4 linked regions of the Callithrix jacchus genome follow. The main gene of each other region encodes a partner of the protein of the gene in region 4 in a complex. Links are inferred from orthologs where the notes say so. Each region holds a gene or a part of one and is shown on either strand. Other genes may lie near its edges.

The links.
Region 1: TIMM50 (region 4) and TIMM17B share a complex: the UniProt entries of both Homo sapiens proteins name them as parts of the TIM23 complex. The link is inferred for Callithrix jacchus from reciprocal best matches to the Homo sapiens genes TIMM50 and TIMM17B.
Region 2: TIMM50 (region 4) and TIMM21 share a complex: the UniProt entries of both Homo sapiens proteins name them as parts of the TIM23 complex. The link is inferred for Callithrix jacchus from reciprocal best matches to the Homo sapiens genes TIMM50 and TIMM21.
Region 3: TIMM50 (region 4) and TIMM17A share a complex: the UniProt entries of both Homo sapiens proteins name them as parts of the TIM23 complex. The link is inferred for Callithrix jacchus from reciprocal best matches to the Homo sapiens genes TIMM50 and TIMM17A.

The regions. Positions count from the first base shown.
Region 1 is NC_133524.1:49,451,775-49,456,615, reverse strand, and holds the end of TIMM17B (mitochondrial import inner membrane translocase subunit Tim17-B), read left to right. Parts: intron 1-1,548; coding exon 1,549-1,612; intron 1,613-2,434; coding exon 2,435-2,563; intron 2,564-2,655; coding exon 2,656-2,766; intron 2,767-2,855; coding exon 2,856-2,944; 3' UTR 2,945-3,250; downstream 3,251-4,841. UniProt on the Homo sapiens protein: Essential component of the TIM23 complex, a complex that mediates the translocation of transit peptide-containing proteins across the mitochondrial inner membrane.
Region 2 is NC_133514.1:116,566,475-116,572,236, reverse strand, and holds the start of TIMM21 (mitochondrial import inner membrane translocase subunit Tim21), read right to left. Parts: upstream 3,984-5,762; 5' UTR 3,701-3,983; coding exon 3,400-3,700; intron 1-3,399. Other genes in the region: FBXO15 (F-box only protein 15), read left to right, coding at 4,702-4,817. UniProt on the Homo sapiens protein: Participates in the translocation of transit peptide-containing proteins across the mitochondrial inner membrane.
Region 3 is NC_133520.1:28,980,293-28,986,175, reverse strand, and holds the start of TIMM17A (mitochondrial import inner membrane translocase subunit Tim17-A), read right to left. Parts: upstream 3,732-5,883; 5' UTR 3,715-3,731; coding exon 3,689-3,714; intron 2,268-3,688; coding exon 2,168-2,267; intron 2,038-2,167; coding exon 1,974-2,037; intron 1-1,973. UniProt on the Homo sapiens protein: Essential component of the TIM23 complex, a complex that mediates the translocation of transit peptide-containing proteins across the mitochondrial inner membrane.
Region 4 is NC_133523.1:34,961,792-34,967,792, reverse strand, and holds the start of TIMM50 (mitochondrial import inner membrane translocase subunit TIM50), read right to left. Parts: upstream 3,966-6,001; 5' UTR 3,950-3,965; coding exon 3,842-3,949; intron 2,896-3,841; coding exon 2,745-2,895; intron 2,216-2,744; coding exon 2,184-2,215; intron 1,966-2,183; coding exon 1,944-1,965; intron 1-1,943. UniProt on the Homo sapiens protein: Essential component of the TIM23 complex, a complex that mediates the translocation of transit peptide-containing proteins across the mitochondrial inner membrane. Has some phosphatase activity in vitro; however such activity may not be relevant in vivo.

The sequences.
Region 1 (4,841 bases), on a different chromosome or scaffold from region 4:
TTTTTCTCTGATGTCGGGGTCCGGCACGTCTGCCTGGGGACTACCGACCCGCAGGAGTCCCCAAGACCGCCAACGTAGATGTCTCGTTCAACCTGAGGGAGAGAGTGCGGGAAAGTGAAAGAAAATAGAAAAGTGGAGTCTGGAGGGCTGGCTTAGGCTATGTCCAAGCAGCAATTTTATTTTTGCAATACATTTCATGATATACTTTTCTGAAGCCAAAGTTGTTTACACCAGATCAACGTACTTAAGTTACAGTAAGCAAGTTACGCCCACTAAGTTACGCCCAGTAAGTAAGTTAATCCCATTAAGTAGGTTACGCCCAGTAAGTAGGTTACTTTCAGTAATTAGGTTACGCCCAATAGATCAATGTAAGTAAGTTACAGTCATGCCCAGTAAGCTATGGGAAGTAAGTTACAGTTACACCCAGTAAGTTATGGTAAGTAAGTTACCAAGTGTAAATACTTAAGTTAATATTTTACAATGAAGGTAACAAGGGTCCAAAATGAACACAATCAAGCAATAAACCATAAGGAGCCGAAAGTGGACACATTGACTCCCAAGTCCTCATATCCATAAAGTAATGTCTGTTAACTATTTAGAATAACATAGTCCCTCTCTCAGTTCCTGCTTTCCCTCAGCTCGACTCCCCCAACCGGGGATCTGTGTCCGGGCTCAAGCTTACCGTATGGCGAGGCCCGTTTCCCAGGGGCCTCACACGGGAGCGATCCCCACAGATTCCCTCACTCTGACCACCTCCCTTCCCAGAAGATTGAAAATGCTGTGGCTTTAATGCCATCTATTTGCCAAGTTCTCTGCAATTTACATATGTAGCCCCATCCCTCCCCTAGATTCCTGGAACTCTCCTTCCTGGATCTTTGGCCAAGTTTCTCATCATCAAGGTCTCAGCATGAATTCCCCCCCTTCAAGAGGCCTTTCCTGACACCTCAGCCCCAATCCTATTTCTTCATGGTGTTTTTGCTAAAGTGCAGATTGCTGTTTGAAGCTCCCTTGTTTATCTACCCTTGCCTCAGGATCTGTGTCTCCCACTGTTAATGTGACCTCTGAGAGGGCAGGGAGCAGATCTACCTTGTTCGTGGCTGTATCCCTGTATATGGCATGGTGCCTGGCACATGGCACATATAGTTAGGTACTTGTTTTTTTTGTTTTTTGTTTTTTGTTTTTTTTTTTAGAGACGAGGTTTCACCATGTTGGCCAGGATGGTCTCAATCTCCTGACCTCGTGATCTGCCTGCCTCAGCCTCCCAAATTGCTGGGATTACAGTCGTGAGCCACTGTGCCCAGCGGCGGTACTTGTTAATCATTTACTGAATGAATGAACAAATATATGAATGAATTAGTACTTGTCAACTCAGCTCTGAGAACATCCATTTTGGGGCACTCTCCACACCCCTAGTTCTTGGCCACTTCTCCACATCTCTATGGCTGATACCTCTAACAGATCTCCCATCTTCTTCCCTCTTTTAAAAGCTGGAAACCCATCTGCCAGTGGCTTCAGCCCTGCTCTGACTCCCTTTCTTCCTTTCCCCAGGGAATTCGGCACCGGTTGAGAGGTAGTGCCAACGCTGTGAGGATCCGAGCCCCCCAGATTGGAGGTGAGGGGCTTGGGGATATAGATATAGGAGATGTCTTGGCAAAGATGAGAGTGGTTGATCCTTCAGGTCTAGGCTTCAAGTTGGGGGTTCAGATTCTAGCCCCTGCCAGAGACTTTCCAGGGTTGTGTTGTTTTCTAACAATTGAATATGGAGGGGAAGAAAGTGGGTTCTGGAGTTTAAATTTAGGTCCTGACTCTTCCCTGCCATGTGACCTTGGGCTAGTGGCTTAACCTCTCTGAACCTCACCTGTTCTATGGGGGTGGTGATAACAGTAACCACCTTATCAGTAGTTTTGTAGTTTATGTAATTTACATACTACTAAGTGCTTGTTGCTATGCTAAACATTTTAATAACATTAACTAATTTAAAATTGCAGAAGTCAACACAGTACCTCAAACAGGTCCTGGCACACAGTAAGCCCTCAGTAAACATTTTAACTGATTAATTTTAACATCAATTAACTGGCTTTTCTAACCTATTTTCTTCTCACTGAAACCCAAATCAGAATTCCAACTCTGTGTGGTGATTATGAAGATCAAAATTGCTCTGTTAAAGGCTATATGAAGATATATCTGCTTGTAAACATTTGTCAGCTCCCCATAAAGGTGAAGGGAATGTCGATGGTGATTATAGATGACTTGAAGTGGGAGCTCCCCACAGGATGGGGACAGATAGGAAATACTCTCTGGGGATTTGCTATCTGCCTTTGTGTCTGGGTTTTTTTTCCCTGTTCTTGGCCGAAGCATTCAGGCCTTGGAAGCCCCCTGAGATGTGAATTCTTGGGATTTCCCAGGAACTAATTAGGCCTTGTTCCCACTACAGGTAGCTTTGCAGTGTGGGGGGGACTGTTCTCCACCATCGACTGTGGCCTGGTGCGGCTTCGGGGCAAGGAGGATCCCTGGAACTCTATCACCAGTGGAGCATTGACCGGGGCTGTGCTGGCTGCCCGCAGTGAGTGCCCCCTGGCCCTGGCCCTGACCCCAGCCTCTTCCACCCTGTTCTGCCTGCCCTCACCTCTGTTTCTCTGCCCCCAACTCCCCCAGGTGGTCCATTGGCCATGATGGGCTCAGCAATGATGGGGGGCATCCTGTTGGCCCTCATCGAGGGTGTTGGCATCCTCCTCACTCGCTACACGGCCCAGCAGTTCCGAAATGGTGAGTACCTGGTAGATGGTGGTGAGGGGAGTGGGAAATGCTCCACTTGGCCTCTTCCACTCATCCTTACCGGATTCTCCCCTCTCCAGCACCCCCATTCCTGGAGGACCCCAGCCAGCTGCCCCCTAAGGATGGCACCCCACCCCCAGGCTATCCCAGCTATCAGCAGTACCACTGAGGAAGCCACTGCCACCATGGGAGCTGCTTCTCAGTTCCCTCCCCGATGATCTACCTCGAAGGGAGGGCTGGCTCCCAGTTAGCCCTGGGACCCTCCAGAGAGGGCTTCTACTCTGCTCCCTAGTCCCAGGGTGGGGATGGGGCACCCCAGCTGCCCTGACAGATGGGTCCCCCTTTTTCTCTCTCAGGGCACCCCAGCCCCACACTCACTGTACCAAGTTCTCACCCCAGCTCCTTTGTGTGGCACCCCAATAAGTATTTAAAGCCCGTTTTGAAAAAAAAATAATAAAGTCCGTTTTGAAATGCCTATGTGTGGACTCCTTGAGCTGCCTATGGGGCCCCTCCATAGGACAAGGAGCAGAGCTTGCTTAAGGGACTCAGAAGCCCCAGACTTGGAGACCCACAGCAAGTGGGCTCTAGTAAATGTCTATGGGATGAATGAACAGGAAGGGAGATTGAAGATGTGAATTAGGGACATGAATAAGGTTGTCTGGGGCCAGGTGATGGGTCTGTCAGAGGAACAAGCCTGGGAAAGAAGGGAGTGAACACCAGGATTGCTGGGGGTGGGGGTGGTTCTGGATGTTGTGCCCCTGACCCCATCCACACACACACACCCCAGTACCCCTGACCCCTGCTCCACAAGCCCCCATCTCCGAGGCTGGGAAATGTGGCCTCACCAGAGTCCTTTCTTTCTGGATGCTCAGCACAGCATTTGTAAAGGTGATTCCCCTCCCTCTGTGTGGCCTCAGGGTGGATCTGGGATGGAAGGAGGGGCCGGGAGACTAGCTCCCTCAAGGTGGCCTGGTCTTTGTTTTGTTGTTGCTGTTTTGAGATGTTCTCTGTTGCCCAGGATGTAGTAGTAGTGGCATGAGCTCGGCTCACTGCAACTTCCACCTCCTGGGTTCAAGTGATTCTCCTTTCTCAGCATCCCAAGTAGCTGGGATTACAGGCGTACACCACCAAGCCCAGCTAAGTTTTTGCATTTTTAGTAGAGATGGGGTTTCACCATGTAGGCCAGGCTGGTCTCAAACTCCTGACCTCAGGTGATCTGCCCGCTCAGCCTCCCAAAGTGTTGGGATTACAGGTGTTGGGGGGGGTGCAGGAGACCAGTTTGACCAGGTCAAGTGTTTTTAAAGGGTAACCACAAAATAACCAGAAATCAGTTTTCATTTTGGGATGAGGGAGCTAGGACATTTTTTTGAGTGGACATGGGTTCTCCCGCCAAAACTGACTTCTGCACAAACCTCTACATGGGTGGGGCAAACACTGCCTTCACTGGGATGCAGATGCCACGGGGAGGCGCAAAAACTTCCTGAGGAGTCACTGGTTTCCTCTGCACAAACTGCTCTAGTTGGGAATGACCTCAAGAGACATGAAAACCGTCCCTTTCTTGCAAGTCATTGCAAGGTGGTGGAAACACCCTTTCTTCATTACAAAACTGGTCCGTGGGGATGCAGAGTCTTCAGCGGTGACAGCTGAGACTCCTGTTTGAGCGACTCAGTGCCGGGCAGTGCGCAGTCCCGCAGCCCTGAGGTGGCAGCACCAGGCGTGCATCTTTGAGACCGAAGCGTCTATCAGACCCAGGGTGTTCCTTGTGTCTCAGGGCCAATACCTCCTTTAGTCCCGCCCGTTCTGGATCCTTGGGCCGGCCTTGCCCCCTGCAGGCCTCCACCTGCGTCGATTTAGCGTCGCCCCAGTAACTCCTGGAGGCCCTTCCCTTCCGCGAGTCCTGGGGCCACTGGGGACTCCACGCGCCCGGGGTCACCGGACCTTCCCCTCGGCCCAGTCCGGGTCCTATCGCTCAGCACCGCCCCCTGAGGCCGCAGCGGGCTCCACCTCCGTACTACATCCACGCGGCTCCTCCGACGCCCCGACCCTGTGGTCTCCCCAGGGTCCCT
Region 2 (5,762 bases), on a different chromosome or scaffold from region 4:
GATTTTGGAGCTGGCTACCTGGCTACTGGCTAGCAATGAGGACTCTGTCCCTGGTGGTAGGGGGGCACTGACAACGCCTGTCTTACAGCTATAGTGCAGCTGAGGCAGCTGTTACCGATGGGGACTTGGGATGGAATACTGGCGGAAGGGAATGCACTGGCTGGTCTGTTTTTTTGGGAATTTAGGAGGAATCAGCAATTTTAAGGACTTAGAGGGCTGTGGCTGGGGCCATGGATACTCTGGAGAGGGAGGATGAGATGATACGTATAACTAATCACCAATAACAGTGACTGCCAAGGGCAGGGGGCCTCCTCCCCAGCAGAACAAGACTCAAACTGCACCCAGAGGGCAGAAAACGCAGGGGTCAGGTCTGTGGCATTAGGGCAGCAGGGAGTTTGGCATTTCAAGCCCATAAGACCTCCCACACCTAGGTCAGGGTCCTGATTTGGGAGGAAAGGGAACCTAAAGCTGCAGTGGGGGCCCTTGAGGTCAATGCTCTAAGCAGCTCATTGTCTGGTAAAGGTTGGCATTTCTTCCATCTTGGAAACTTGGCAAGGGGTGGGTGGGTGGCTTCTGCCTAGGAAGACACATGCTGCCCTCAAGAGGTCTCTCCACCTCCCGTCCTGGCCAAATTAGAACACAACTGGGCATGAGAAGGGTGAGAAGGAATGATACACAGAAGGAGCTGGAGGCCCCACCAGCGGGAGCCAGGGGAACATACATAACATATCACTGCCTCTTAAAGGGGGTGTGTCAAGGGCACAGAACACAAACCCAGCTACGTGAGAATTGATCAGCATGGGGCACACTCCTGTGATGAATTTAGCAACCGGGCAAGCACCCTGGGAACTGATATGCAGCTGGCTAGGTTTGCTCCCGTAAACTTTGAGACAGTGATGGTCCATAATAAGTAAAAGTGACAGAACAGCCATGGCAAACTGGAGGAAAGGCTCAACAGCCTCGAAGAATGGGGATGCTACCATAGACATAAGATATAAAGCCTGAAAACCCACCAGCTGACTATATTCTTAGGAGGAACTGGAGGACACTGAATACCAAAGCCACAAGGAAGCCAGTTACATCTTTACAGAGCAGGATGCCCTGACAGCAAAAGAACTCTGAAACAGAGACCAGGTTGGGGTATTAGACAGAAGCCAAGATGGGTGCAACCATAACTGATGGCAAGTCGGGAGTGTCTGACCCGCACAGAGCAAGAGTTGATGACTAGAACACAGTGTTCCCAAGGGCAAGTCTGGACCTGAGCAAGTTTTCAGACCTGGAGCCCATTTACAGAAGGAAAGTGTGTGTGACTGACTCCCCCAGTTCTTCACCAAAAGGACCTATAGTTATCAACTTGGACATAACCTGTGCTGACAGTGATGTCCAAGGATCCACTCCGACCCGCCTCAGCATGTAAGAAGCTGATAGCTGGGTGCATGGACTTACCTGGTAATCATTTCTGTGATTTCCAAAAGTAGAAATCAAGAGGATGTACTGAGTAATTGGCAACAGTAACTCCTACTTTAGTTCTTTTGGAGGTGGGTTAAGAGCTATCACCGTGGGAAAAGTCAAATGGAAGCTTCTAAAACTGCCCCAGTGACCAAGATAATAAATTAAAAACAGTATCACATCTATGGGGAATGGCAGAGAGAGTGCTATTCTGCATTAAGAGACCTTAATGCAGGCATGGTGGTCCCCACTGGTGGTAAAGTCCCTTGCAATTTACCAGTCTTCCGTTACAAAAAAACAAATAGGGGCTGGAGATGACAGTGGTTCACTGCAAATTCAACCAAGTAGTAGCCAGGGTACACATGCAATCCCACATATGGTAACTTTACAGAGGAGTGCATTAACACAGTCTCATGGTATTGGCCATTGATTTGAAGAATGCCTTCTTCCCTGTCTCTACTGAGAAGCAGCAGCAGGAGTACTCTGTAGTAACATGAAACAGATAATAATAGGATTATCCTGTTATTATAATCCTGCCCAGGATCTGCTAATTCTCTCACCCTCTGTCATAATAGTCTTAAGGGACTGACACCTTCTAGACCTGGGCTGTGTAACACAGTAGCCACTACTGGCTATTTCAGTTCGATTTTAAATTAATTAAAATTAAATTAATTCAGTTTTTCAGTCACATAATTTAACAACATTTCAAGTGCTCAAAATAGCTACAAGTGGCCAGGAACTAACCAAATGTACAGCACAGATATAGGACATTTCTATGACTGTAGAAAGTTTTATTCGAATAATCCTGTTCTGGACATTGAACAGAATATCACATTTGTCTACTATGTTTATGCCGTCATGTTTGAGCCCATAAGTAACAAGTGGCAAGTGTGTCAGAAGGCTCAGTCAGACAAGTTGCAAGTGTGAGAGGTGGGCCCAACAAAGATCCAGAGGCTCACCAACACATGAGTGGGCCTCGTGGGGCTACCTGGGGGAGTGCCAGGACATGCCTTCGCAAGTAAAAGACAATTGTTGCACCCTATACCTCCTAACACAATGCTTCATAGGCCTCTTTGAATTCTGGACGCAGCATATTTCACATTTGGGAATGTTGCTTCCATCCACTTACTCAGTAACGAGAACTGTCATCTCTGAACGGGGTGCAGTAGGGCTCTCTAAGGAGGCCTAGTGGGCAGTGCAAGCAGCAGCACTGCTGCCGGAGCCAGATGACCTGACACACCTGCCCGTTTCTATGCCTTTCACCTCTGCATATGGGTTGTTCCTTTGTGCTGAACTATTATGAATGAAAAACTAGATTATATTTTTGGCATATGCAGCAGATTACAAAACAATTGGTAGACTATGATTCAATTTTTTGGGTTAAAATTATTAAAAAGTATGTGTATGAAAGTGCAAAATGTTAAAAAAAAGTCATCTTTGTGTGGTATAACCATGGGTGTATAAATTGCTTTGTTTCTTATTTTTTTTCCTACAAATTACACGTGAAATGAAAAAATTAAAAAAAAAAAAACACACCTTAAAATACCTGTGAACATATCTCTGACTTTCCCTGACAAATCACATTCCATCCTCCCTATATGTTTTTCTATTATTGCAGGTAACATCTGAAAGTTTTCCCTACTGGTTATGCGTCAATAATCTCTCTTTTTATACTATCAAGTTACTCTTTATTATATGTAACAGAGCTAATAAAACTTGACAAAAATTTCCCACACATAATGCAAAAAAGTTATATTAAAGACCACCTTTCAAATCTGAGTTTCAATCTGTAAAGAAAACTGTAGGTCTGTATGTTCTAGTTCTAAATTATAAACGATTTTTAAAAACTCATGTGAATTGCTTTTTCACCTTTGGCAGTGAACTTGGTGTAAAAGGGTATTGGGAGCTCTTGTCTTGAGAGACCAATCATTATTATTATTATTTTTTTACCTTTTTGTGCTGTTGAGACGGCGGTTCCCTCTCTCTGACTCCTGTGCACCGACACTTGTTTGCTACTATCCTCCTTTGCTTTTCGGGAGCTCGGCCCCTGAGTCCAGAGGGCTTTCTGGGTGACTCCAAGAACACATCTAGGTCGCACTGTTTTCTTTTGATATTGAAGCCCCCATCTCAAACTGGGCTCAGTCTTCAAGCACGCTTTGTTAAGCACAAGGTGTGGCAAAAGTAATCGCTTTGCCGGGGACCTGTGCAGCTTCTCCGTATATTGTATGGCTCGTAGAAAAGTACAAATCATGTTCACAAAAATCGCTCCGCTTAGGGACGATGCTAACTACAATTAGAAAGCTTTAGGGTTCACCTCACATCCGGCCGGAGTCCTACTCAAGCCTGTACCTTTACATACATGGGGTGTTAGGCAAAAACCTTAGCTTCAGCAGCGTAAATGAAAACGAAAAGTCTCCACAGAGAACCTGATGTCCACCTTCCCTTCTGTCTTCATTCTATTTGAATTAAAATGCTCTGATTACCTTCTGGGTTGACATTCACAGGGTCCCTGCCATGCCTTCGCAAAGTCACCTGGAAAATTCCCCCGTCTTTCTGGGAATAGTAGTTTAAAGACCTTGCTCTTAACTAGGATGCGACATTGGGGCGCGCAAAAGAGACTACATCTCCCACAATTCAAGGCTGCCGCAGCACGGCGCAGGACCTCAGACACCCCCCGCGCCTGGCGCCTGCGCAGATACTGTACGTCGTTGGAGCGGCGGGAAAGTGGGGCGTTTGTGGCGCAATTGGTATTTTAGACCCTGAGGGGTTCAAGCGGTACTTGCAAAAGCCAAGTTAGTTGCAAATTACGTGTTCTTCTCATCCGTCTAGAGAGAACTCCACATAATGGGAAATACTCCCTTTGACTGTGGCCTTGCCATTCTGTGTGCGCAAATGATTTAGTGTTTGCGTTTCACTGTTATCAGAAAAACCGGACAGTAAAGAGCCAGCAAGTGGAGATGAAGGGACGCCACTGCAAATCAGGCTCCGGTTTCCTAAACGATAAGCCGCGGACTTGCTCGGCGCCCCTGATGGCAGAATGTTAGGGGTGGGTAAAGAAGCCAAGCCCGGAAGTTTCTAGAAGCCCGCTCTTTGAGCCGAGTCTGGCGCGGTGCTGTCTGCGCACGCGCCAGGCCAGCGGAACTTTTCCCCACGTGCGCATGCGCCTAGGGGTGTGGCGACTAGGGGAATATCTTGGAACAAGCGTTCCTCGTTTCTGCCCTCGCGCAGTCCTGTGGTGAACGCCTGGTCTCCATGGCGACTGGACGCGGTCGGATCTTGCGACATCGCTGGCTGGGCCTCCAGACGCTGCGCGAGCCCAGCGCGGGCGCTGGCGTGGCCCCGGGGCGCTCCAGGGTCTTTGGGTTCAGGTGACTAGGGCCGGCGGGAAGCCCCTCACTGCGCGCCCTGTTCTTTTCACTGTATTTTCTTCGTCAGGCTCGGGCACAAGGCCCGAGGCTCTCTTCAACGAGAGAAGGGTCTGGAAGAACGACCAGAGGAAATCCTTTGTACCCTGCAGCGTGGGGCACCCTGATTTATGACAGGGGTAGAGTAGCCTCTCAGGGAAATGTTGTTTTCTCCCGGCGCCTGCGCGGGGATGCGCTCACCTGTCAGGACAGGTGCAGGTGCCAAGAGTCGCTTCTCCAGGCTCCTGCCCTACATTCCCGGTGCTCCACCCCAGCCTTCGTATTTTCGCTCTTCTGTAACCAAGAATCTCCCTTCGTCTTTCTCACGACCGTGCAACGTAGGGAAGTAGAATCTGCTCAGGAAAACCTTTCCAGTGTACACCCCCGTCCCCCAAGCAGATACCTCTGGCAGGCAGTTTGGTTTGGGGAGTCGGGGGACAGCACTTTCTGCACCTCCGACGTCAGAGCCAGGTCTTGCTCAGCTCCCAGTCCCATTCTGCCTGTCTTCGGTCTAAATGCAGGAGCCTGTGGTGTTCTCGTTCTGCTCCCTAGAGGCTCCTCTCTCCGTTTTTCTTGGGGTTCCCTGGAAGTGAAGCATGGTCCTCTCCCATAGTGAGAGAGAAGGCAATTTTGAGGACTTAAATAGGAAAGGAGCAGGAGGCTGCCTCTGCTTTCCAGAAGCATCTTCAGCGTGAAGAAGTAAAACGTTCCAGTGCTTCAGAAGTATCAGCATGCATATTGGTACCTGATGAAATCCCTGTCCTTGTATCGCGAGCTGTTCCCTACCTATGTACCCACCACTGCAGTTAGTTTACCAGATGGAGGGATAATGCTAAGAATGGTTTACGTTCTTGAGGACTACCTTTGTGCTCGTAAGGCTCTTCGATTTCTAAATGTGGAAAGTCGTGC
Region 3 (5,883 bases), on a different chromosome or scaffold from region 4:
GCCCAGCTGACACATTACTATTAATTAGTCCATACTTAATTCAGATTTCCTTAGTTTTTAAATGTCCTTTTTCTGTTCCACCGTACCACATTACATTTATTTTTTTATTTTATTTTTTGGAGACGGATTCTTGCTCTGTCACCCAGGCTGGAGTGCAGTGGCACAATCTCAGCTCACTGCAACCTCCGCCTCCTAAGTGGAAGTGATTCTCCTGCCTCAACCTCCTGAGTAGCTGGGACTACAGGCATGCACCACCATGCCTGGCTAATCATTTAGTTGTTATGTCTACAGAATTCTTTTGGCAGTGACAGTTACCTGATGGCATTTAACTCACTGAAAAGGCATAAGATGATAGAAGCAGCCTCTCAAAAAAAAAGAAAAAAAAAAAAAAAAACAAGCAAAAACCTATATGGCTTTTGCATATACTAGCGGTTCAGGGTTTGGTGCGGACTTTAATACCACTTATCATTCTTGAACAACACCAATACTAAAACAAAGAAAAACTAGTTATAATTACTTGCCAGGGTAGGTAATGATTACAGAGAGAAAAATTGAAAAAGATACATTACCTCAACCCTCAGGGCCTAAATGTCCTCGTCTGGAAAATGGGAGATAATAATAGTACTAATTTCTTCATTATTGTGAGAATTAAATAAAATAATGCTGTAAAACGCTTAGCAGAGTGCTTGGCAAATGCTAAGCACTCAATAAATGGTAGATATTGGCTACTAACTTCTCAAGAAAAACAAAGAGATTATTTTGATGCCCAAAACTTCTAAGGAATGACTGAAATATTAAGTCTTTCTCATGCCTCATATCCAGTCTCTCCAATCTAACTATATCCTTGTGTTGTTTGTTTTTGTTGTTGTTTGAGACAGGGTCTCACTCTGTCACCCCGGATGGAGTGCAGTGGCGCAATCTCACTGCAGCCTCAACCTTTGGGCTAAGTGATACATCCACATCAGCTTCCCTAGTAGCTGAGACCACAGGCACATGCCCCAACGCCTGGCTAATTTTTGCATTTTTCTAGGGATATGGGCAGCCGTGTTCCCCAGGTTGGTCTTGAACTCCTGAGCTCAAGCTATCTGCCCAATTCAGACTCCCGAAGTGCTGGGATTACAGGTGTGAAGCATCGCACCCAGCCCTGACTATACCTTTGTAAGGGAATATAACCTACAAACATTTTTTCATCACCTCCCTTTTCCCAGCTTCTGAATAACTAAGTTTACAAAGTACAAGAAATAGAATCTTTTCAAATTTTGCGATGACTTCTGCAGTGTCCAAAAGCTCACATTAGAGAAGAGCCCAATCAGCTTGATCAGTTTCTCCTGCATGAAACCCCAATCCTTCAGCTCATATTCTTTTCAGCTTTATGTTACCTCAGAAGCCATCATTTCTGACTCACAAACCTGAGCTTTTTTTTTTGAGACGGAGTTTCACTCATTATCCAGGCTGGAGTGCAATGGTGCAATCTTGGCTCACTGCAACCTCCACCTCCTAGGTTCAAGTGATTCTCCTGCCTCAGCCTCCCAGGTAGCTGGGATTACAGGCATGAGCCACCACACCCAGCTAATTTTGTATTTTTAGTAGAGACTGGGCTTCTCCATGTTGGTCAGGCTGGTCTCTAACTCCTAACCTCAGGTGATCCGCCCACCTCAGCCTCCCAAAGTGCTGGGATTACAGGCATGAGCCACCTCACCTGGCCTCAAACCTGAGCTTTAAACACGCTGTCTTTCTTCTGGAGAAAGAAAAAAAAAAAATCACTCAGTATCTAAAGGACAGAGACAAGATTTTCAAATGGGTATCATAAAATTCAGGTTAACTTTTCAAGAAAGAACTATGGGGATATATGTTTGTGACAAACTGTTAGACCAAACTAAAATCATTAATTGTTGTAATCTAAAAATAAAAAATAGCTCCATCTTCAAATAAACAGGAAAAAATAGTTCAGTAAAAAGGAAAATTCTGCTCACCTCCTAACTGCGGAGCCCTGGTTTTAATAGCTGTCAAACTTCCTCGTAGTCTGTGGTTTACTCCCTATAACAAAACAAAGGAAGCAACCAAAACCATATTAGAAGTACATTTCTAAGCCACTGATGGGCCCACCAGTAATACCATCAAACCCAAGTTTCAAATGGTGATAAAATAAGACCATTCACTCACTTACCACTGGAGAATTGCGAAAACCTTTGATTGCTTGAAAGATGCCTCCACCAATGGTACCCATCGTAAAGGCCCCACCACAGTCATCTACAATTCGCCATGGGCTAAGAACGGGGCAAAAAAAAAAAGATGACCATATTTCTCATTCACAAATCATAAAACCTTCTTTGCTAATGCAGTAAGGGAATGGAACAGATTATACTGCAGGACCTGCTGCAATCAATAAATATTTGGCCTATAAAATAACTTCAGGAAATGCTGTAATCAAACAGGCCAGTCAGAAAATCAAAGCAGATTTGACTACAAAGCTAACCAGGTAACTGATTATATATATTGTTTCAGGACATGTGTACTAAGTGAAAGCAAAGGGGCTACCTAGTAATTTAGTAAATGAAAACCCATTATTTTTCTAAGATCTTTAACTCAACACAGTTAAATATTTTAACCCTCTGCTAACCTGTGTCATTACAGTACATCAAACAGCTATTTACAGTATGCTGAGTCCTACATATCTGAGCACAATCCAGAATGGGGATAAGCGCTTTGAAGAAGGTAAGTCTGAAGAGCCAGGAGACCCTAAAACTTGTATTTTGTATGCCATTTGGGAAAGAGGGAAACACAAAACAGGCAACAGGGCTAGGATAGCAGAGTAAAAATTCAAGGTCCTGGGCATTTTCACAAATTGAGGACATCTTGGTTCTTGCTCTTACACAATAAAACAAATGATTAACCAAAATATCAAGATCTGATTTTTTACTTATGACCCCAGAAACTTTAAACTCTGGCAACCTGAGACTTCTGACAGCAATTACATTCTTTTATAATTATTTATGCATGTGGTTTATTCATGCTCAATAAACGCTGAATGAAAGAATGAATTTCTGTCCATGGATTTTCAGAGAACACATGGTATTACCTCTTCCTATTTCCCAGGTAATTTTTGCCCCCCCACCCACCCCCATAAAGAATTCCAAGGAGGAAAACAAAGCCCAACGGCCTAAAGGAGCTTATCCAAACCCCTTGGCTAAAATTTATGTTCCATTCATTTAAAATGCTTCACTCTGCGGATTCACATCATGATACAAGTAAAACCTCAAGAATGGAACCCCCTCAAACGCCTATCTTCTGTTCCTCAACGCAGGAAGTGAGCAAGCGAGGCGGAGGGACGCGCCCAAGGTCACCTCCGGGAACAGAGGGGATTTTAACCGCACAAGATAGACTACGCCCTGCGTTGGGAGAAGGTTCCGAGGTTCTATCAAACTCAAGTCTGGACCTCTTCACCATCCACCCCAAAGTCACAGGGGTGCTGGGTTGGGAGAGCGAGGCTCAAGCGGCCAGGGAGATAGTGGGTACAGGGCTAAGAAAAAGACTGGCGGCGAAAGACCGCACTGCCCAGCATTACCAGGCCCAAATCGACGATGCTGCGGTTGAGTCTGGCTTGCAACTTGGAAGCCTGGACAGGGGAGAAGGAAAGCAGTGAGCGGGGCGGGAGCAAGAGAAATGCAAAGACAGCGGTGAGGCTCACCAAGGCTCTCGCGCGTACTCCTCCATCTTGACTCCGGCGCCGCGAGTGATGCCGGGCCAGCTGGGCGGAGCCTGACTCCAGAGGCGGAAGTGATCACGAGAGGATAGCGTTAAGGTGTATGAGGATTGGGTCACCGTTTTCCCCTGCAGCCAATGGGAGCCGGAATTCCTGTGGCTAGCGTGTGATTGGGCTATTGGCCGTGGCGTGGCGAGACTGGCCCCGCCCACGTCCTCGAAGGCCCTGGGTCCGGGCTGTGTGGGCGGAGAGCTACCAATGACAGAGTCACTACCCAGTTACCAGAGGTTCCGTGGCCCGAGATCAACCCGATGCTTCCTAAATACGCTTCTTTTTCTTTATTTCTTTTCTTTCTTTTGCTTGCTTGCTTTCCTTTATTTTTCTTTCTCTCCTTTCCTTTCCTTTCTTTTTTTTTTTCTTTTTTGGTACTTTTGCCGTCAAATGTAAATTAATGCTACCTTATTCGTCATGTATTGTGAAGCCGTTACCAAATACACGTAGCTCCTTTAGGGCAGACAATGTCTTAGTGATTTATAATAACCACGGTGCCTAGAATGTAGTAGATGCTTAATAAATGTTTGTGAAATAGAACTATTTGGACCATCTGGAGAGCCATGACCAATTTGGAGCCCTCGATTCAGGCACATTGACGCCAGAACCTCTTACAGGCCCCTCCACCAATGATCACCAGAAGGTGTGAAGATGTTTGGCTCAGAGAAGAGGGGACTTATGGGGACCTGGCCGGGGGTGGTGGCACGTGCCTGCAGCCCTGGCTATTCGGGAGACTGAGGGGGGAAGATTGCTTGAGCCCAGGAGGTCTAGCATGCAAGGAACTGTGATCACGCCACTGTACTCTAGTGATAGAGTGAGACCCTGTCAAGAAAATGGGAAAAAACAAAGCGGGGACCCATGGGGCTTTTAGTTTACCGTCAACAAAATCCCAATCATGTGATGGCTGTTAAAGGTGCTCTTCTCCATTCTGTGTGTTTGTAAATGACTTTAAAATTTGTATATATTTATTTTATGGATAAGTCGATATCATAAATAATGGAAGACTGCAAAGGGGAGTGAGGTTCTCTCCAAAAGCTTGGAAATGAAGTAAGCAGATGAATTGACCCCTCCATGGAACTAAATAAATGTGTCTTTCGTGTGAGAATGGTTCATACTACTCATCTGATTTGGGTGTGTAAGTTGGAGAAGACCTGTTTGGAGTGTGACTGTAATTAAGAATAGTTAACTCTATTTAATCGTACAGGCTGAAGAGAGATTGTGGGAGAGGGGAAATGGAGGCATTCAGAGGGCAAGAATCTGATGTTTAGTCAGCACTGCAGACCTGGTGGGTATAAATATTTCAGTAACTAGAGATTTGCACACTCATGGGGCAAAGATATTCTTTCTGATCTCACCAGGACCTAGATAAAATATCCCTTTGCTCTAGCTACCTCCCTTTATTCTTGTTCTGAATTTATTAGACAATCTTCTTCTTAATTGGCTTCTGAATAGATTTCAAAATAGTAGAGAATACCCCAGCCTGTGTTTATAACTATTCTTCTCCATTTGGTAGTTAATACTGGCTTATGTATCTGCCTCTTGTGAGTTAAGTTATTTTGACTAAATCACCAAAAATAGTCAGGGTGTTCCAGAGAAACAGAACCAAGAGCATATATGTATATACATATCCTATTGTGTGCAATAGGATATATATATATATATATATATATCTCCTTTTGGTTCTGTTTCTCTCTATATATAATATATAGAATTAATAAGTATATGTTTATTTATGATGAGTAGTTGGCTCACATGATTATGGAGGTTGAGAAGTCCAATAAGCTGTGTCTGCAAGCTGAGATGGAGGAAAGTCAGTGATGCAGTTCGGTCCAAGTCCAAAGGCCTGAGAACCAGGGGAGCTGACAATGTAAATCCCAGTTTGAGGGCAGAAGGCAGTGAAATGAGATATCTCAGCTCACCAGTGAGGCAGGAAAAGAGGGGCAGATTCTTTCCTCTGCCTTTTCAATGCCCAACTACACTGGGTAGGGCAATCTACTTTGGTGAGTCTACCAATTCAAATGCTATTCTCATCTAGAAACATCCTCATGGACACACCTAGAACAACTTTTAATCTGGGCACCGTATGGTCCACTCAAGTTGACATATCAAATTAACCATCACAGTGATGA
Region 4 (6,001 bases):
ATTTTGTCTTTCTACCTACCCCTGGGAAATTTGGCAATGCCTAGAGATATATTTGATTGTCGCAATGCTGGCATCTAGTAGGCAGATGCCCAGGATGCTTCGAAAATCCTTCCATGTACACAGCAGTCCTCCACAAGAATTATCTGGTCCAAAGTGTCAATGGGGCCAAGGGTGAAAAACCCAGGTTTAGGTGAATATATTGTCTTGTTTACTTTCTCTCGCGCTCTTTTTTTTTTTGGAGATGGAGTCTCCCTCTATTGCCCAGGCCAAGTGCAGTGGCATGATCTCAGCTCACTGCAACCTCCACCTCCTGGGTTCAAACAGTTCTCCTGCCTCAGCCTCCCGAGTAGGTGGGAATACAGGCACACACCACCACGCCCGGCTAGTTTTTTGTATTTTTAGTAGAGATGGGGTTTTACCATATTGGCCAGGCTGGTCTTGAACTCCTGACCTTGTGATCCACCCACCTCGGCCTCCCAAAGTTCTGGGATTACAGGCGTGAGCCACTGCGCCCAGTTACTTTTTCATTTTAGTTTATTTTTTTAGAGGTGGAGACTCATTCTGTCGCCCAGGCTAGAGTGCAGTGGTGAGATGACAGCTCACTGCAGCCTGTAACTCCTGGGCTCAAGTGATCCCACCTCAGCCTCCTGAGGAGCTGGGGCCACAGGCTGAAGGCCACCACTCCCAGCTAATGAATCCAGTATAAAACAGTAAACATACATGGCTGCCTACTTCAATACAGTGTTTTTAATGTAATACATGGGCCCATCTCTTAAAAAAACACAATATATTTGGCCAGGAGTGGTGGGTCACACCTGTAATCTCAGCACTTTGAGAGGCTGAGGTGGGCAGATCATGAGGTCAGATCAAGACCATCCTGGCTAACATGGTGGAACCCTGTCTCGACTACAAATACAAAAAATTAGCTGGGCGTGGTGGCAGGTGCCTGTAGTCCCAGCTACTCGGGAGGCTGAGGCAGGAGAATCTCTTAAATCCAGGAGGCAGAGGTTGCAGTGAGCCGAGATCACGCCATTGCACTCCAGCCCAGGCGACAGAGCAAGATTCCGTCTCAAAAAAAAAAAAAATTAGCTGGACGTGGTGGTATGGACCTGTAGTCCCTGCTACTCAGGAGGCTGAGGCACGAGAAACACGAACCTGGGAGGTGGAGGTTGCGGTGAGCCAAAATTGCGCCACTGCACTCCAGCCTGGGTGACAGAGCAAGACTCTGTCAAAAACAAAAACAAAAACAAAAAAACCCCACAATATCGAAAGCAGTTAGACTAGTAAACATATACACTTTAAACCTCCAGGTTTTCCTGCCCAAGTTAAATCAGCATAGTGATTTGTTGAAGCTAGCAAGATTCTAATCTGCCCAGTCAAACCAGCACTCACTCACCTGCCCAGTGTGAAAGACTGTATTAACATGACTGTTTGCAAATGTCCCCACATAAACAGGTGGCTTTCTGGATCCACCAATTTCATTTGACAAGACTGACAACTACTCTACTATCCAATTTGTCAGAAATTTCAGCACCAAAAGCTGGTTAACCAGATGGGGTGGGAGGAAGGAGGCATTGTTTTGAAAATGAGACTAATGGAGTAGGGGCTTGGGGGGGTTGGGTAAAGAGTTGGGAGCTGCAGATGCTCAGTCTAAGGCACAGGAACCCACGTGTCTGGAGATAGGCCACCCTGTGTCCCCAGGCCCTCCCACCCAAGGCTCCCCACCCCCATCTGTCCCTGACCATCTGCTCAGGGCTGAGGGGCCAGGGAAGTGGGCTTGGGCTTTGTAAAGTCCCTCCCCACAAAGCTATCCAGCTGCTGGCTCCCCAACCTCCCCAATGGAAGGAGGAGGGGCCAGAGACACCAGATGGGGAAAGACACATCCTTACAAATGACAGAGCTGAGAGGGTCGGGGACTCCAGAATCTGTGCTTGTTTACTCACCATTGTCGAATTCATCAGGAATCTGGGAGGTAGAGAGAAAAATGGAAGGTTTAGGATGTCAGAGGCAGAACCTCATCACACCCATAAAAGGAATCTCCAGGACCCCAAGAGGAATAAGCAAAGGTCCTTAGGAAAGAAAGGCTCACTCCAGACCAGCAATGAGCCTCAACAAACCAAAGGGGACCCCTCTCACCCACAGGCTAGGACTCCTGGCAAGGCCTCAGTCTCTTTTCCCCTCACCTTGGCACCTTTTTCGTCCACAGAGTTGTTTCCTGCAAGGGAAACCAGGATGAATATGAGGAATTGGGGTGCAGTCTCCTAGGTCCTGAGGGAGGAGTGGGATAGGAGGCCTGGACTCCTGGATCTGAGGGAAGAGAGTTAGAGGCACAGCCTTCTGGATTCAAGCCAGGAGGGGGCTGGGAGCCAAGATTCCTGGGTCTTTGAGAGAAAGGGGGCTGGGTCTGTGTCTCTTGAGTCTGAGGGATAAAGGAACTAGTGGGAAGGCTGGATTTTTGGGTGCTGAGGAAAGACAAAGTTTAGGAAGCTGATCTACGCCTATCCTTCCCCATCTTCCCCTCTTTCCTCTATCCTGGTACAGGAACCAACTAGAAAGACTAGAACCTTAAGAGGTAGAAGGGAGAAGAATTCCCTGGTTTTCAAAGGTAGGTGTCCTACTTGGCTGCCCTATGGAGGAGAGCCAGGGAATTAAGATGGAGAGGTTTGAGTGGGTAAGAGTGAGAGGTTCCACAGCGGACGAGGGAGGCAAGGAATAAAACTAGGGGGCAGCGATATGTCCCTCACCAAAGATATAGACGACGCTCACGGTCCCACCAGCTCCAAGCAGTCCAGCAAGCCAGAGAGCAACTTTTTTGGCATAGCTGGGACCCTCTGAGCCCGGCTGCTGCTGTGGCCCCTGTGCCTGAGTGCCCCCGCGGCTCCCGATCTCAGCGACCTGCGGTTGAGAAAGGGGAGGTCAAGAGAGAAGAGCTGATCGTTCCAGCATTCCAGTCCAAGAAGAATCAAGTTCAGGAGTCAAGAGGCAGACACCCACAGAGCCTGGACGTCTGTGTCCCTGGAGGGGCAGTCAGGAAGTGGGGCTGCTCAGAGGGTCAAAACCAGACTGTCCAGCGCCAGGATGCCAAGAGTTTTAAGAGCCAACAGGCCAGGTGCACAGGATCCTGCAGACAACACGACTAGAGGGTGTGGAGCCCGGAAAAGCAGATCAGGGAGAATAAGGGATGGGAAGGCCTAAACTCTGGGATGTGAAGGAACGCAGGGCACAAGGGGGAGGGGTGGGAGGGCGGGAAGGGGCAGACAGGACCGGGAGTTATGACATCTGGCTGCTTGGGGCTAAAAGGTAGCAGAGTACAGGGTAAGGGATGGGAGCAGAGGCGGCGAGAGGCAATCACTTGTCTGGGGCTTGGGGAACTAGGACACAGAAGTGATAGACTTGGAGGTCAGAATGGCTGGGTCTCTGACAACATGGAGGCAGGTCGAATTGGAAATCCAAACGTCTACCTCACCACCCTCACCACCACCACCACCACCTTGGGAGTAAAAATAACTCCCAAGGCCAGGCTGGGACTCCAGCGTCCCACTCCCCTCCTGCTCAAATAATCACCTGAGTGGTCACTGAGATGGGAAACAGGTAACCCCCTCCTCCTCCGGCGCCCACGTGGGTGGGAGGTGGGATCTGGAGGACACACCTGGGCCCCCAGCCTCCAGGCCAGGGGAGCAAGTGCTATTCACCCAGGAGGCTGGGAAGGGGCCCAAAACCCAAGCGACGTTTTATTCAGCACCCTGAGGTGCGGCGTCCCAGAACCTCCAAGCCGCGGCGATATGTCCGTAACTCCAGGGAGGGGACCCCACATTCAGAGCGCCACCCTCGTTCCGCTCACCTGATCCGGAGCCCGGGGGGGCGGCGTCGCCAACCTCGTGCACAGTCCCCGCAAGCCTAGCCGGAGCCCGCTCCGCAAGCGCGATAACAGAGCTACCGAGGTCGCCATCTTGCGCTGACGCCACGCGGCCCCACCCACTTGCTCCCTTTATTCCCGCCCCGGGCCGGAGCTACAGCCAATGGGAACGCAGAGGAGGGGCGGGCGGACGGAAGCCCGAAATAGACCAAAGGCTTCGGGCGGATTGCCGCAGGCACGTTTGCCCCAACGATTCTGTTTGATGTCCCTGGGGGCACCAACTGGGATCCAAAGTCATCTGGACCACGCCCAACTTGGGCCGTGCGGAGCGCCACCGCCGAGGCAAAGGATGCAGCAAGGGAAGTGGTCAGATTGCCTAGAGGTAAAGCAGAGGCCATAATGAAGGGAATCATTGGCTGCCTGATTTGTCCCAAAAAAAGTCAGGAGTCAGGTCGCTTGTCTCACGTGTAAGGGCATCGGCCTTCGCCTCCCAATTGTCAAAAATGGAAACTGGGGCTTAGAAAGCGACCTGAAAAGCCAGTCCTCAAAACCTTCTGGCCAGGCGCGGTGGCTCACACCTGTAACCCCAGCACTTTGGGAGGCCAAGGCAGCGGATCATCTGAGGTCAGGAGTTCAAGACCAGCCTGGCCAACATGACGAAATCCCCGTCTCTACTAAAAAAATAAAAATTAGCCAGGAGTTATGGGGCGCCCCTCTAGTCCCACCTACTGGGGAGGCTGAGGCAGGAGAGGCAGAGGTTGCAAGGAGCCTAGATTGCGGCACTGCACTCCAGCCTGGGCAACAGGAGGCTCTCTCAAAATAAATAAAAATTAAAATTAAGGCTGGCGCAGGGGCTGCGCAGGGGCTCACGCCTGTAATCCCAGCACTTTGGGAGGCCGAAGCGGGTGGATCACCTGAGGTCAGGAGTTCCAGACCAGCCTGGCTAACATGGTGAAACCCCATCTCTACTAAAAAATACAAAAATTCTCCTGCCTCGGCCTCCCAAGTAGCTGGACTACAGGAGCCTGCCACCATACCCGGCCAATTTTTTTGTATTTTTAGTAGAGACAGGGTATCACCCTGTTGGTCAGTATAGTCTCAAACTCAACTCAAATAATCTGCCCCACCTCGGCCTCTCAAACTGCTGAGATTACAGGTGTGAGCCATCACGCTCGGCCTTAAATGTTTTGTTTTTTCTTTTTTTGAGACGGAGTTTCGCTCTTGTTACCCAGGCTGGAGTGCAATGGCTCGATCTCGGCTCACCGCAACCTCCGCCTCCTGGGTTCAAGCAATTCTCCTGCCTCAGCCTCCCGAGTAGCTGGGACTACAGGCGCACGCCACCATGCCCGGCTAATTTTTGTATTTTTAGTAGAGACGGGGTTTCATCTTATTGATGAAATGTTTTATAATACATTTACATTTGTAAAAAGACAGGAATATCTAATGAGGAAGGGAAGCAGGTTCTGGGTACTAAGCTCCAGTCTCTTTAAGATTGCACCCACTCCTGCCCCACGTCATTGGAAAAGCTACAGCAATCCTGCTGTCACTGCTGTCAGGGCTCAAGAGAATGGACCGCTGAGCACTGTAGCTCACACGTGTAATTGCAGCACTTTGGGAGGCCAAGGCAGGAGTATCACTTGAAGCCAGGAGTTCAAGACCAGCCTAAGCAATACAGTGAGACACATCTCTATAAAAAATATAAAAATTAAAAAGTTATCCAGGTGTGGTGAAGCATGCCTGTAGTCCCAGCTACTTGGGAGGCTGAGGCAAGAGGATTGCTTGAGCCCAGGAGGTTCAGGTTGCCTGGGCAACAGAGCGAGACCCCATCTCAAACAGAAAAGAAGGACCATCAGCTGGATGTAGTGGCTCACGCCTGTAATCCCAGCACTTTGGAAGGCTGAGGTGGGCAGATCACAAGGTCAAAAGATTGAGACCATCCTGACCAACATAGTGAAACCCTGTCTCTACCAAAAATACAAAAAAATTAGCTGGGTGTGGTGGCATGCACCTATAATTCCAGCCACTCAGGAGGCTGAGGCAGGAGAATCGCTTGAACCCGGGAGGCAGAGGTTGCAGTGAGTCAAGATTGTGCCACCACACTCAGGCCTGGTGACACAGCAAGACTCCATCTCAACTTTGCGCAGT